Linked DNA regions of Canis lupus familiaris. The protein of the gene in region 2 interacts with the protein of the main gene of each other region in a pairwise test. Links are inferred from orthologs where the notes say so. Each region holds a gene or a part of one and is shown on either strand. Other genes may lie near its edges.

What was found. The genes of interacting proteins can lie anywhere in the genome.
Region 1: the proteins of GLRX3 (region 2) and CA9 interact in binary tests that used the Homo sapiens proteins (3 or more experiments, as listed by UniProt). The two-hybrid records come from large-scale screens. The link is inferred for Canis lupus familiaris from reciprocal best matches to the Homo sapiens genes GLRX3 and CA9.
Region 3: the proteins of GLRX3 (region 2) and RGS20 interact in binary tests that used the Homo sapiens proteins (3 or more experiments, as listed by UniProt). The link is inferred for Canis lupus familiaris from reciprocal best matches to the Homo sapiens genes GLRX3 and RGS20.

The regions. Positions count from the first base shown.
Region 1 is NC_049232.1:52,499,125-52,504,055, reverse strand, and holds the start of CA9 (carbonic anhydrase 9), read right to left. Parts: upstream 3,237-4,931; coding exon 2,834-3,236; intron 2,018-2,833; coding exon 1,988-2,017; intron 1,726-1,987; coding exon 1,555-1,725; intron 1,387-1,554; coding exon 1,244-1,386; intron 1,167-1,243; coding exon 1,074-1,166; intron 27-1,073; coding exon 1-26. UniProt on the Homo sapiens protein: Catalyzes the interconversion between carbon dioxide and water and the dissociated ions of carbonic acid (i.e. bicarbonate and hydrogen ions).
Region 2 is NC_049249.1:39,088,723-39,093,525, forward strand, and holds the start of GLRX3 (glutaredoxin-3), read left to right. Parts: upstream 1-1,783; 5' UTR 1,784-1,853; coding exon 1,854-1,939; intron 1,940-2,602; exon of another isoform or gene 2,603-2,716; coding exon of another isoform or gene 2,717-2,754; exon of another isoform or gene 2,755-2,764; intron 2,765-4,803. UniProt on the Homo sapiens protein: Together with BOLA2, acts as a cytosolic iron-sulfur (Fe-S) cluster assembly factor that facilitates [2Fe-2S] cluster insertion into a subset of cytosolic proteins.
Region 3 is NC_049250.1:5,821,651-5,826,777, forward strand, and holds the start of RGS20 (regulator of G-protein signaling 20), read left to right. Parts: upstream 1-1,891; 5' UTR 1,892-2,164; coding exon 2,165-2,329; intron 2,330-5,127. UniProt on the Homo sapiens protein: Inhibits signal transduction by increasing the GTPase activity of G protein alpha subunits thereby driving them into their inactive GDP-bound form.

The DNA of each region.
Region 1 (4,931 bases), on a different chromosome or scaffold from region 2:
TAGGCACTGTTTTCTTCTGGACCCTCCTGGGAAATGACAGTACAAGACAGGTTCTTATAGGCATCTAGGGCTATGGCTGGAGGCCTGAAGGTGAGGTGGGCTTTGCATACTCCTCCCGTTTCTCAGCTCTGAGGATGCTGAGAGAACATAAAATCTTGTGTATTACTACTTGGTCGATTTACTCTAGCAGGTTACTGACCTAACCTGTTTGGTGGGCTGGTTTCAATGGCAAATTGGAGAAGCAGGAAGATGGGCCACTTGACTGTGACCTGGGTCCTGCTATCTTTTCCAGTCTCACTGATCCTACCTCCACATACACACTCATGGTCTCCCCACAGAAAACCATAATAACTTTGTATTCTCATTTCCTCTACATTCACCTTAAGAGTTCATGTGTTTGAGTTTTGGAGCAAGGACATCCTATCTCAGATGCCTTCTCTGAACTTTGTACTGTGAGGCTGGCGCTAGAGTCAGTTAGGCAGTGACTGAGCCTAGAAGGTATCTCCCCATCATCCCTGCATTTTACTAGTCTCTTCTAATCACTATGTAGGTAGCCCTGATTGTTACAGGTCCCAAAGAGGTCACTAAATATTTCTCTAGGCTTTACTGCATTTCACAGAGTGGAAATTATGAGTTATAGGAGTATTTAAGAAACTCCTCTTCCTCGTGTCCCTTCTGTTCCACCTGCCATTCCCTGAGTGTATCATAGTCCACATATAATGTTGGCTCTACATGGAATATCTCCCTTTCCTTCCCACTACTGCAGGCTTCAAGTCTGACCTCCGGGAACTTTCCTCTGACCACCTCTGCTCTGTATGTGCCCTCCGTATGTGCCTTTCATTGTCAGCTGCCTCCACCGGCTGTGGGCTCCTTAAGTCAAGGAGCCAGGGTTTCTGAGTCCTTTGTGTGGCTCAGTGCCTGGCTCACAGTGCGTGTTGGATGAATTAATGAGTGAATGAGGCCTGCCAGGTGCCAGGGTGAGTGTGTTAGGATGGGGTCTCCGGGGTCAAGCTACACTGAGCCCTGGGGCGTGGCGTGGGGAAGCAGGGAATAGGGGCGTCCAGCGCTGGTACCTGCAGAAAGGCGGCCAACACGGCCAGCCCCCCCGGGCGTCCCAAGGCCTCCTCAACTTTGGCAAATGCAGTGCTGATGTGAACCACGTGGATCTGGAGAGAAACGGAGGGTAGAAGAGGGCAAGACCCCCGGCCCAGCGTCCCCCTTGGCCTCGCCGCCGCACGCTCACCTCGGCTGGGAAACGGTGGCCGTCGACCGTGTGCTCCGAGCCCGGGCGGCCCGCGGCCCCCCAGTGCAGGTGCAACTGCAGGGCCCGGTACTCCCGCCCGGGGCCCAGGGCCATCTCCAGCCCCGGAGGCAGGGTCAGCTGCACTGCGAGGGAAGAGCCAGGTGAGCCAGGGGGTGGCGGGGTGGGGGTGGGGTCGGGGGTGTCTAACCGCCAGGCGCGAGCGTGGCGGGCGGGCCCCCGGCTCTCGGCCCCGGCGCGTCCCCCGACAGGCTCCGCCCCCCCGGGCGGCTCCGCGGCGAGACCCCCCTCACCGGTGTGGCCATTGTTGCGCAGGCGCAGTTCTGGGAGTGGCGGGAGCTCAAAGCCCAGGAGCTCCAGCGGGGGCAGCGCCGGGCTCAAGGCGGCGAGCTGGGGCCGGATATCTACGGGCGACTGGAAGCGGCCCGCGCAGGCTGGGGACACCTGGGGCCAGGGCGGGTCTCCTGGAGCGAGAGAGTGTGGACCGGAAGTCTGGTGACAAGATCAGGGCCGGTTAGGGAAGCGGGGTAGAAAAAGTGAGAGGGTGGAGTGAGAAGGCATCGGGCGGGAAATAGAGATCGGGGCTGGGGACCGAGAGGGCAGCGGGCCGTGCTGCGGACTGGCAGGCGGGTGCAGTGGGTGGGACGCCCGGGAACCAAAGTTCTGGGGGGTCAGGTCGGCAGAGCAGGGTGCCCAGGTTGGGTGTGCAGGGGGTGGGTGTCTCACCTCCATAGCGCCAATGACTGTGGTCATCCCCTGCATAAGTGAGAAGGACGGAAAGCCGATATTTAAGCCCAGTCCCTCCCCAGCGGCCAGAAGGAAGTGCGTTCCCCTCCTTGACAGGGGCATAGGGGGTAACGGGAATGCCTTACGTGGCCAGGTATAAAGCACAACAGACTGCAACCAAACATAACACCATAGCTTGGTAGATCAAAGATCCTACAGGCCCCAGAGATACCAGTTTGCAGCCTTGTCTTAGTCTGTAAAGTGGGGGGTGGGGTGGGGAAAGGGGTTTGGTCCCCAGGCCCAAAACAATAGACCCTCTTCCCTTTCTCCCTGTCTCCAACTCCCTTCCCAAGGTTCTTCATTTCTGAGTCTCCTGGTTTCTCAGTCAAAAAACCAGGTTCCCCTACTTACTATTCCTTCTTCCTAAGTCTCGCTTTCCTCATCTGTAGAATGGGGATGCGGTGATCTCTACAAGCCCTCCTGGCTCTTCCATTGCTACCCACCCTGCTACCGTCTTTCTTCTCTCCCCTCATATTCTTTCTTCTCTCCTCATATCTCTTTCCATTTCCTTCATCTCTCTCTCCTCTCCAACCTCCGCCTTTCTTTTTCATCTCTTCCTGCTCACCTCTCTCCATCTGTGCTTTTTGGTCTCCTCACAGATCCCCTTCTAGCTCTGAAAGGGGGGAGGGGAGTGTTTAGTGGCATGAGATCCCAAGGGGATGGGAAAGGCTACTGTCAGTGTATAGGCTCCTTTCCTTCGCTGAATAATCCCTGCCTGGGCTAGGGTTGAGCACCTGGAGGACAAGCCTCCTGGAGCCTAGACTTGGAGGGCTGATGACCACTTACCTTTGTTGTGCCTGTGGGCATTATTCTGGGAGCCTGGGGTGTCCCTGGGCGCCTCAACAGTAGGTAGATCCTCTAACTTCAGAGAGTCCTCTTTTCCTGGTTCAGTCTTCATTCCAGATGGGTCCTCCTCTCCAGGTGGGTCTTCCTCTCCAGGTGGATCCTCCTCTCCAGGCGGGTCCTCCTCTCCATGTGGATCCTCTTCACTGGGTAGGTTTTCCTCATCCAATTGATCATCCTCTCCAGATGAATCTCCTCCCAACCCGGGTGTCCCCTGTATCCGGGACAGGCTCTGGGGATGGACAGGAACCAGGAGTGGCAGGATCAGCAGCAGTTGCACACCAGGGCCCAGAGAAGGGGCTGGGATCAACAGAGGGAGCCAGGGACTGGGGCACAGGGGAGCCATGCGGCTGACTGTGGGGTGTCCCAGACACGGTGTGTACGGGCTGTACGTGCATTGGAAACAGGAGCTGGGTGGGGGAGGAGCAAGCCTGGAGGGGAGCAGGCTGACTCACAGAGGGCCCTTTTGTAGAGATGGAGCCAAAGTCCCGTGGGTCTGCCTGGCCCTGTGCCCCTTCCCCGATACCAAAGCCTGGATGGGGGTGGGTGTGAGAGGCAGGTATATGCACAGGCAGGAGGTTATCAGGGTCATAGGCTCAGCCTGGAACCCAAGGCACCACCTGGCACTACACAGGCTCTCCCTGGCACCACCCAGCTGCTCACCAGCCAGCCTCAGCTAACCCTGGCCTGCTTCCCAGCCCCAGGCAGAGAAGGGGAAAGACAGGGAGCTGGGGCCCGCACAGCCTCTGGCTGAGAGGGAAGCAGCCCATGAATATATCCCTGGCCGAGCCACAGACCAGATAAAGGGGTAGGACAAGCTGCTGGGGAAGCCTGGGAGTGGGTGGACAGATAGGTAGATGGGAGGCAAATCTGAGTATAAATGAAAAACTGAGTGTATATAGGAGAGGAACGGTGATGTTTTAAAGTAAATTTATTTTTCATCATGTTACACCTCTTCTCAAAAACCTTCATTGGCTTCCACCTGCCCATCTTCTTCCTGTAGTTGACTAGAGCTTGTTGGGGGAGCTGCTTCCTACTGTTCTCCCTCATACTCCAGCCAAATTAAAGTATTAATTTTTCCCCCAGACCTTTAACCCCCTTTGTTCATCTAGTTCTCACTGCTGGGAATACCATTCAGTCTTATATTTAACAAATATTTATTTAGCATCTACTATGTCCAGCATTAGACTATGGACTAAAGGTATAGAAATGAATAAGACACAGTCCCTGTCCTAAGGATCTCACTGTCTAGTGAGTGAGGGCAAACACTATCACAATATTCAGGGGAAAGAGATTAATTCTGCCTAAGAAAGTAATACAGAAGTAGGCAAAATATGATCAGGGCTTTGAAAAAGAAGCAGTTCAATTGCTAAAAACAAGGTGGAGAATGGGATTTTGTGCAAAGGAAAGGCATCAGATATCTTGTGCAGGAGAATGACGGAATCCAATTCTCATATTAGGTTGTGCTGAGGGCTGGGGGAGAGCAGGGGCAAGGAGAAGAGTGAAAGGACCCCAAGAATGGACTTGGGGTTCCCAGTATGCCTGTTCATTTGAGAAACATTTATTGAGCCTCCTCCAACCCTCCAAGAACTGTTCTAAGCCATAGGGATGCAGCATTGAACTAGAGGACAGCCTCTTCTGTTCTGTAGCTCACATTATAGTAAGGTCCCTATGGTTTCAACAAACCAGAAGAAAGTAAGACCATCTCAGGAAGTTCCTAGCTGGGGCTAACATTCAGTAGATATGCACCCATATGGTTGTATGGATTGGAGAAATATATTGAAGTATTTCTAATTTTGTTGAGAACTAGCCCCTAGCTTCAGGGTGGCTCCTGCTACCTCACTCCTCCCCAGGAACTCTACTGATCTCTTATCTAAAGAGATAAATGCTTGGCAGAGCTGAGGCCCAAGGACCCCACTTGAATGCCCCAGCCAGCCTCCACTGTCATGAATGGGTACTTGTGTACCCACTACCCTGTTAATGATTTTTACTCTCTCTTCTGTCTAAATCCCTTGTATGGTTCAAGACTCAGCTCAAATGC
Region 2 (4,803 bases):
AGACCTGGGAGAGCCAAATGCGACAGCCAAATACTGCTTGGGCTAGGGCCCAGCCCAGAGGTCTCTGTTGCCAAGGTCAGAGCATTTTAAAGCTCAGAGGTCAGCTTCTAACCATTAGGCCTGTTGATGTCAATAGAGAGAGCTGCAGAAAGAGCAGGAGGTAGAAGTGGGAATATGAGGCAGTGTGGGTGGCTCAGCGGTTTAGTGCTGTCTTCAGCCCAGGACCTGATCCTGGAGATCCGGGATCGAGTCCCACATTGGGATCCTTGTGTGCTTCTCTCTGCCTGTCTCTAGTAAATAAATTAAAAAAAAAAAAAAAAAGAGTAGAAATGTAATCTTGGAGTTTCCCTGACACGCTTTTTTCTAAAGTGGAGAAGTGCTCTGTAGCTGGTGTGTGCTGCTCTCAGCAAATTCCATTTAAAGGGAAAGTCGGGATTTTTAAAACAGCCACATTAGAGGGGCTGATTACTGCTGCTTTTTGAAAAAGAATCACTATAGCACATTTCCCTAGTGCATTACAATTTCATTATTTTTTAAATTACAAAGCCAGTCCCTGTCTTTGAAAAAATGCAAATGACATTAAGAAGTGTAAGATGTAAAAGGGAAGGTCCTCCCTTTGACTCCCCTCTTTTCTGGGGGCAAGCTCTCCTCACACTTTGGGGCATATCCTTCTGAAGACTTTTTTCTTTTTTTTTTCTTTTTTTTTTTTCTTTTTTATTTTTTTTCTTAAATTTTTTTTTTAATTTTTATTTATTTATGATAGTCACAGAGAGAGAGAGAGAGGCAGAGACATAGGCAGAGGGAGAAGCAGGCTCCATGCACCGGGAGCCTGATGTGGGATTCGATCCTGGGTCTCCAGGATCGCGCCCTGGGCCAAAGGCAGGCGCCAAACCGCTGCGCCACCCAGGGATCCCGACTTTTTTCTTTTTAAATGCTACTGTTCAGCTATATATAGTTATGCTATTTTATTTACATATAATTCTGTTTAAAACAGCCGTTGGAGTATGCATCCTCTTTTGCAAGGCGCTGTTCCCCCCACTTCCTATTGCATCTTTGCATTGCAATCTCTGGGTTTTATTTTATTTTTTTAAAGATTTATTATTTATTTATTCATGGGAGAGAGAGAGGCAGAGACACAGGCAGAGGGAGAAGCAGGCTCCATGCAGGGAGCCCCATTGGGGATCTTGGGATTGGGCCCTTAGCTGAAGGCAGACGCTCAACCGCTGAGCCACCCAGGGCCTCTGGGTTTTATTTATTGAAAAAAAGTTTGTTTCAAATTTTACAGTAGTCCACAGAGAGATCCTGTGTACCTTCTCCCCCCGAAGATGACATCTCGCACAGCCATCCTGCAAAACCCCAGCCAGGACATCCACATTCACACCGTCGGCCCCTCTTCTTCCCGGTGTTAGTTGAATCCGTGTGTCTGCGTGTGTTTTGTCCCGTGCAATGTTATTTATGTTCGGGTTTGCACAGGTACCACCGCAGTTAGGATACAAACGACCTCGTGGCTCTTCCTGCATCATCTCAAATAAATAATGTGATTTCCCGTTTTCGGTAACAAGTCCGCCTTCCACTTAATTTCATTCGAGGTGGAAACGTGCAGACCTGGCGGCTTTCCCCTCCACCCACTCGCACGCGCGCACCGGCTCCCCCGCAGCTGCAGCGGGAGCTCCCGGGAGGGGGCGGAGCGGGGGGCGGAGCCAGGAGCAGCGCGGCCACGCCCCCCGGAAGCCACGCCCCCGTCCCCGCCTCGGGCCTGCGCCAGCCGCGGGGGCGGGGCTTCCGCGCGCAGACCCCGGAGGCCCCGCCCCCCGGCCGCCCGCGCTCGATTGCTCCTGTCTGGCGGCGGCAGCATGGCGGCGGGGGCGGCCGAGGCGGCGGCCGTGGTGGAGGTCGGCTCAGCCCCGCAGTTTGAGGAGCTGCTGCGCCTCCGAGCCAAGTGAGCCGGGCGGCGGGCGGCGGGCGGCGGGCGGCGGGCGGCGGCGGGGCCTGGCGAGGGGCGGCCTCTCGGACGGCGGCGGGCGGCCCGGCTCCTTCGCGTCCGGCCGGCGGGGCCTGGCGGGGCGGCCGGCTCCCGAGCTCGGCCCGTCGGCTTTCCGGGCCCGGGAGGGGAGCGGGGGGCGGGGGGGGCGACCCGACCCATGACCCCATGACCCCATGACCCCTCCGGGCCCGGGAGGGGAGCGGAAGGGGGGCCCGACCCGACCCCATGACCCCATGACCCGCCGGGCCCGGGAGGGGAGCGCAGGTGGGGGGGGCCCGCCCCGCCCTAACCCCATGACCCCATGACCCCCCGGGCCCGGCAGGGGAGCGGAGGGGGGCCGACCCCCGGGAGAGGAGCGGGGCGACCCCGCCCCGACCCCCCGGCCCGGCCCCGCCCCGCCCCGCCCCGCCCCGCCGCCCGGCCTGGCAGCCCCGGTGCCCCGGCGTCGCGCTGACTCAGCCCCGGGCCAGGGAGGACGGGGCGCGCCGACCCCGGCGGCCGGGACGCTGCTCCCGAGGGTCCCCGGTGTGCGGGCCGCTCGGCGGGTCGGCGGTGCCGGGCCGGAAGGGAGCCCCGCGGGCGGCGAGGCCTCGAGCCTGGAGCCCCGCGCGCAGGCTTCCTAACCCCGCCTTCCTAACGCATTAGAGTCGCGGGCGGGGAGGGGGGGTGCGGGGCACCTGCCGTGCCCCCTGCGGTGTGGACGCCGCGGCCGGCGAAGGCCGGTGGTGCCCGATGTACCGGCTACAGGCAGGTAGGAGCAGCAGGAGCAGGTAGGAGCAGGTAGGAGCGTGCCTGGGAGAGCCGGTGAGCGGGGGCGGGGGCGAGCGGGGGTGGAGGGGGAGCAGGGCCGGAGCTACTGCCTTGCTTCTGGGGGTCACGCGTGCTGGCCCTGCCGGAGGTAGACGTGTAACCGGATCAGCCCTTCACACATTTCAGGTTTCCTTGGAAAACTGTTTACAGGAACAAAACAAAACAAAACAAAAAAAAAAAAGAGGGAAATGAGCGGTACTCACCGACGAGAGGTGGGTTGTGACTCATCCCGCACTGACATACCCGACTGTGGACGGCGCCCGAGGTGGGCTCTCGGAAGGGGCAGGACGACTTAGGTGCACCTGCTTTCCTAAATACTTGAGCTCACTCTGCCTCGCGTGTTGCACATTTCGGTTTTCACGTGTCGTTTTTTTTTTTTTTTTCTTTTTTTTTTTTCATCGTAAATATTCTTAAAAGAACACAGCCCACACACGCCATTTGGGTGTTTTCCTGCCAGTGGTCTGTGCTCCAGGTGATGCAGAAAGCAGCACACCTTTCCCCTAGGGATTAGCTTCAGCAGGCACCTGGGAAATGATGGCTGGCATCGGAGAAGGAATACATCTCTGCCCCCCCCCCCCTTTTTTTTTTAATTTTTATTTATTTATGATAGTCACACAGAGAGAGAGAGGCAGAGACATAGGCAGAGGGAGAAGCAGGCTCCATGCAGGGAGCCCAATGTGGGACTCGATCCCGGGTCTCCAGGATCACTCCCCAGGCAAAGGCGGTGCTAAACCGCTGAGCCACCCGGGCTGCCCCCAGTTTTAAAATTTGATGTGAATTGAAATTTTTTCTTTGTTTAACTCACCTCGGGTGTTTGTGTATCACTGAAACCTCAGTTGCTCTGTACAGTGGGGATATCCCCAATTGCAGAGGGATCAAGGTTTTACCCATTTGTAAAATACCTAAGTCCAGTATATGATAGTATTTAATACACAGCAGCTGGTATTATCTGCAGATAAATAACTGCAGGAGCTGAACACCTAATAATAATAGAGAAACAGCAATGCATTGAACACCCATTTTGCTGATGCAGAGCCAATGTTCATTACATTGTCTAAAAATATGCTAGTCAGGATTTGAACCTGGTCTTTAAAGTCCTTCAAGCAGTGCACCATGCATGTAGGGTTATTCCATGCAGACAGAGGGTACTCATATGTAACCCAAGAGAGGGTGGCAGCATTTATATTTGTTTCAGGTTTATAGCCTAATGCTCCTAGGTACTATGTCCTTAATTAGAAAGTTGAGCATCTAGATAGGAGATTATTGTAGATGATGTAAAACAACTATTAATATCATGCTTTTATATTTTTAAAGTGTTTTTATATTTTTGTTTGATCTTTCCAACATCTCAGGGTATTAGTTATTGCTGTTTTACAGTATGGAAGTTAAGATTCACATTTACATTAAGATTGAAATTACTCTTCAAAGTGATGTTAGTAGTCATGGAATTTTAAGTTGTGTGGGTATATCTTTTTTTTTAACTATTAGTGTAATTTATACACAATAGTATATTAGTTTCAGGTATATACATATATATATATTTTGCATAGGTCAGTTCATACATACTGTTATAAAATTTGGGAACATTTAAATTTTTAAAAATAATCATATTTTGGGCATTTTTACATGCCATTAGAATTCTTTGAAATATGATTTTTAACAGCTTGCTAATATTCTGCTATTTAACCATTAACAAAGATATAGTGTTATTGAAAAATTGATTCTTCCAGTTATTTGCTATGTGAGAAAATGGGAAAGTATTATACATAAATATACATAAGTCTTTGTTTCTTTAATTACTTCCTTAGGATAGATACTTGACAGTGTGTAAGAATTTTCTGAAAGGTTCCACTTTAATTTTTACCAGTAAGATACGGAAATGCTTGACTGCTTCTTTTTTTTTTAACATGGACTATTTTATTTAAAAAAAATCTTCTTTCAGTTTAGTAAAAAGTGGTATCCCAGCATTTTAAGAAATGAGGTATTACTTATATACCATAATAAAATGC
Region 3 (5,127 bases), on a different chromosome or scaffold from region 2:
GACTTATATTTTACTAGTTAGTAACCTCAGTGGAAAACAAAATTGCTGGATATTATGGTATCTATGTTGAACATTTTGAGGAACTGCCAAACTGTTTTCCAAAATGGTTGCAACAACATTTAACATTTCCACGGGTAACGTCTGAGAGTCCTAGTTTCTCCACATACTAACATTTATCATTGTCTGTTTTTTTGCCAACCTATTGAGTGTAAAATCATTGTGATTTTGACTTGCTTTTCCCTAATGGCTAATGACGTCGAGCATCTTTTCATGGGCTTATTGGCCATTTACGTATTTTCTTTGGAGAAATATTTATTTAGACACATCACCCATTTTCAGTTAAATTTTATTTTGTTTTGTTTTTTCAGTTGTAAGAACTCTTTACATATTCTGGATACAATTCCTTTATTGTGTATATATGATTTGCAATATTTTCTATATTTTCTATTTTGTAGGTTATCTTTACACTTTCTTTCTGAGGTTCTTTGAAAATCAAAGTTTTAAAAAAAAAAAAGAAAATCAAAGTTTTTCATTTTGCTGAAGTCCAGTTTACCTTTTTTTTCTTTTGTCCTTTGTGCTTTTGGTATTATATGTAAGAAGGCTTTGCTTAATCCAAGGTCACAAAGATTTACCCCTACATTTTCTTGTAGCAGTTTTATAGTTTCAGCTCTTACCTATAAGTCTATGATTCATTTTGAGTTCATTTTTTCTGTGGTGTGAGGTAGAAGTTCAACTTAATCTGTCTGCCTGTAGTTATCCAGTTGTTCCAGCACTATTTGTTGAAAAGACAATTCTTTCCTCTGTTGAGTTATTTTGGCACCTTGTCAAAAATCAATTGTCCCTAAATGTATGGATCTATTTATGGACTCTCTATTCTGTTGATCTATAGGTCTATTTTTATGTGAGTACCACACTATTAATTACTGTGGCTTTATAATTAGTTTTTTTTATTTATTCATGAGAGAGAGGCAGAGACACAGAGGGAGAAGCAGGATCCCTGTGGAGAACCTGATGCGGGACTCGATCCTGGAACCCTGGAATCACAACCTAAGCCAAAGGCAGACGCTCAACCACTGAGCCACCCAAGCATCCCCTTATAATAAGTTTTTAAATTGAGAAATGTGAATCCTCCAACTTTGTTCTCCTTTTTATGAGATTGTTTTGGATAGTCTGGGTCCCTTACAGTTCCATATGAATTTTACAATCAATCTATCAATTTCTCACAAAAAAAAAAAGAATAAAAAGAAAAGGAAGCTGAAAGAAAAGGAAAAAAAGAAGCTGAAATGTTGATAGGGACTGTGACTGTGTTTGTTTTGCATACCAATTCTGGAGGCCCGGGGTCATTTTACAAAAGGAAATTTCTCCAGTTCATAACCCAAGTAATATACATCTGGGGTCTTTACCCCTGTGCACCAGACCCAGCAATGGTTACTTGAATATTAGATATTCCTTGAGAGAAAGATATTATGTTCTACTCTTTGCACTCTGTGTAATAATCTTTATTTATAGGGCACTTTACAAATGTGAAGCACAATATTCGAAGCCAACTTTTGGTTTAATCACTAGATGACTAGTTACTTCATAAGAAAAATCATTTTAATCCTACATCATATCAATTTAGGTGTAATAATCCTTGGGCTTAAGTTTGGGTGTGAGTTTAGCAAATATTTCTAACCGCAAAGCTAACTGCTGCTAAAATGACCTTTTAAGAAAACTACATAGATTAGGCAGACCATCTGCCTCTCCATTGCGTGGTCCAAGATGATCAAATACTAGTCCCTATCACACATGACTAATGCAGAATTTCGCAAAATAGTCTATTCCCTTTATCATTATATCCTAAGCAATATATCACTTACACCATTTCTTTCCATTTTGATTTAGGAATTAAATTTGAATTAGGAACACATTGCTGCCTGCAGAGGGCAGTCATAACATATCTAGACATTCAAAACCAGAAGCTCTACCTGGAATAGAACACTAGTGGATAAACTGCTGATCCCCAAAACAGATAATCCTGTTGCTTCAGATAGTGAAGCAGAGAGATCCCCAGCTGGCTGAGAGATGGCACAGCATCCACCAGACGAAGAGAAGTAGACTGGATCCTGGGCTACTGCTGTTAAAAACAGGCTGCAGGACTCATTTAGAACTTTATTGTAAAAACATGCCCAGTCTTCCCCAAGACAACCAAGAGTGCCTCCAGGAACATTTCTCTAGGCCATCTATGTGGAAGCAATTTCTGCCCCTGCGTAGGGCAGAGGGATATAAAGCAAACATTCACCAAACCATGGAAAATGAAGGTAGCACCAAGGCTGTGCATGATGTCAAGGTAAGACAATCTCCACAACCCCTGATCCTTTCTTGACAAGGAAAATTTTTATCTGGAAAGAATTTAAAACCATAAGCAAGCTTTCATACTATTGCTCTATCTTACTAATAGTTTATCAAAATGTTTTCAAGCTAACCCCAAGAGGAAAACTAGAACTTTGATAATAATTACCAGATCTGTCCAGTTTTCTCCAACCTAAACAGCTTCCCTTTACGAAGACAAATGCTTATTTATTGTTTGTTTGTTTGTTTGTTTGTTTCAGGAGGGGTAATGTTTTTTAAAAAAGGAAATCTAGCCATAGATTTTTATGACTGTTGATATTTTGTGGCTATTGTAGTTTGGATATTTTTCTCTAAAATAAAATTTATTTCTCGTACAGTATTGAAAGAAAAACTATAGACTGCTTTCTACAAAAATTGCTCAAGAAAAAATTGATAAAATAATACAGGAACATAAGAACATTAAGAAGCTAAGGGATTTTTTCCTGAATTCATAGTTTCCTATGGTGAATTTTTTAAGCATGAATTTCTATCAATAGGTAACATTATTTCCCCAAAGAGTGACAATTTGCCTGCTCGGTGTTGTGTGTATCTTTGCAGTTTAAGTCTGTAAATCCTCTTAACTATGAATAGAACCATCTCTTAAAAGGTTATTCAGAGAAAGGGGGATGGGCCATGTTACTGCCTACAAATAATCAGAGCTCAGAATTAAATGCTGCAATCATACTACAGCAAACCTATCCAAATACTTTAACACCAAAAAACTGATCCGTCCTTGTGCCATGGCTCATATCCTGACAATAAACATGATTTATTATTGGATATCTTATTTTAACCAATTGGCACAGGAAGAAGAAAAATGTAGAAATGTACTGACCTTCACTTTTGACCTTTCAGACATATGTGAACAAATAATATGTGATATTCACAGCTCCTATCATCACCTGAGCACTAGGTCTTTAGGAAGCTAAAATGAAATAGATATACTGGCTGGAAGTCCTTAATTAATGGGCATCTAAACCTAAATGTAGGGAACCTATGCAAAAGAGATTTCTGAAAGGTAGAATTTGGAGGTTACTCTGCGGAAACAGCAACAACAACTTGGGTATATTTTATGTGTGTGCACACATATAATTTCAAAGTTCTAACTGTATTGAGGGGTACTCTTTAAACAGAATCATAGGCAGAGGGATCCCTGGGTGGCGCAGTGGTTTAGCGCCTGCCTTTGGCCCAGGGCGCGATCCTGGAGACCCGGGATCGAATCCCACGTCGGGCTCCCGGTGCATGGAGCCTGCTTCTCCCTCTGCCTGTGTCTCTGCCTCTCTCTCTCTCTCTCTGTGACTATCATAAATAAATAAAAATTAAAAAAAAAAAAGAATCATAGGCAGATAAATTGGAAAAGTATTTATGAATCAGCAGTACATCTTCCCACAGCATCCTGGAATCAAATACACTTCCAGTACTGGACAATCCTACCTGTGATACTGACCTCATTCACCCAGATAAACGGGTTCCAGCCAGTACAGCAGCAGGTATGAGTAGTCAGGAGTGATCCAGTTGAAATGCTACTGGCCTTCCCACTCAGTTTTGCCTCCTCAAAAAATCTTATGTTGCATCTGAACATAGATACACATATAGGTGAACATGTCCCTCTTCTAGCATATATGAGGATGATAGAACTCAATCCATTTTAATTCTACAAACAGCATTGCATCCTTACTATGTGTAAAACCTGGGTTAGGTTTTGAGAAAGAAAAAGATATGCTCCTTCTCCTTGGCAGACTTACAATACATTGGAAAACAGACAAACATATCAACATTTATTAAGTTATCGTATTATCACCATGACTCATGTCAACAGTAGAGGATATCTATGTAACTACATTCTTTTGATCAGTAAGGCAGTAAAATGTTAGGGATGGCATATGACCAATATAGAGTAAAACAACTGAAAATTGCCTAATGAAAGAGTTAAAGAGATGAAATTTAAAGTAGACATGAAATAATGTCTTAGAAATATGGAAAAGTGGGCAGCCCGGTGGCTCAGTGATTTAGGGCTGCCTTCAGCCCAGGGCATGATCCTGGAGACCCAGGATTGAGTCCCACGTCAGGCTCCCTGCATGGAGCCTGCTTCTCCCTCTGCCTGTGTCTCTGCCTCTCTCTCTCTCTGTGTGTCTCTCATGAATAAATAAATAAAATCTTTAAAAAAAAGAAATATGGAAAAGTAGACAGGGAGAGCATGGGATGGAATGTGTTTAGATGTCTAGAGGCCAGTGATAAAACCTTCAAAAATCTGCAACCTAAGCCTCATACATTATACAGAAATTAATTAAAAATGCATCATGGACTTATAAAATGTACAACTGTAAGTAAAACTATAAAACTTTTAGGGGGAAAATTTGTTAATCATTGTGATTAAGGCTAATCAGAGTTCTTGGGCATCAAAAGTATAGTCCATAAAGGAAAAATTAAAAAGTTGAATCTCAGAATATAAAAAAGAAACATTTGCTCTGCCAAAAACTGTTAAGAGGATAAAAAGACAAACTACAGACTTTGAGAGAATATTTTCAAACCCCATAACTGACAAAGCCCTCACATTTAGAATATATAAAGAATTCACAAAGCTCAAAAATAAAATAGCAAACAATCCAACTAGAATATGGGCAAAGAAATTGAACAGGCATTCCATCAAAGAGCATATACAAATGGCAAACAAACACATGAAAAGATAGTCAACATCATAGCCATTAGGAAAACACAAACTAAAAACACAATAAAATATCACTACACACCTATCAG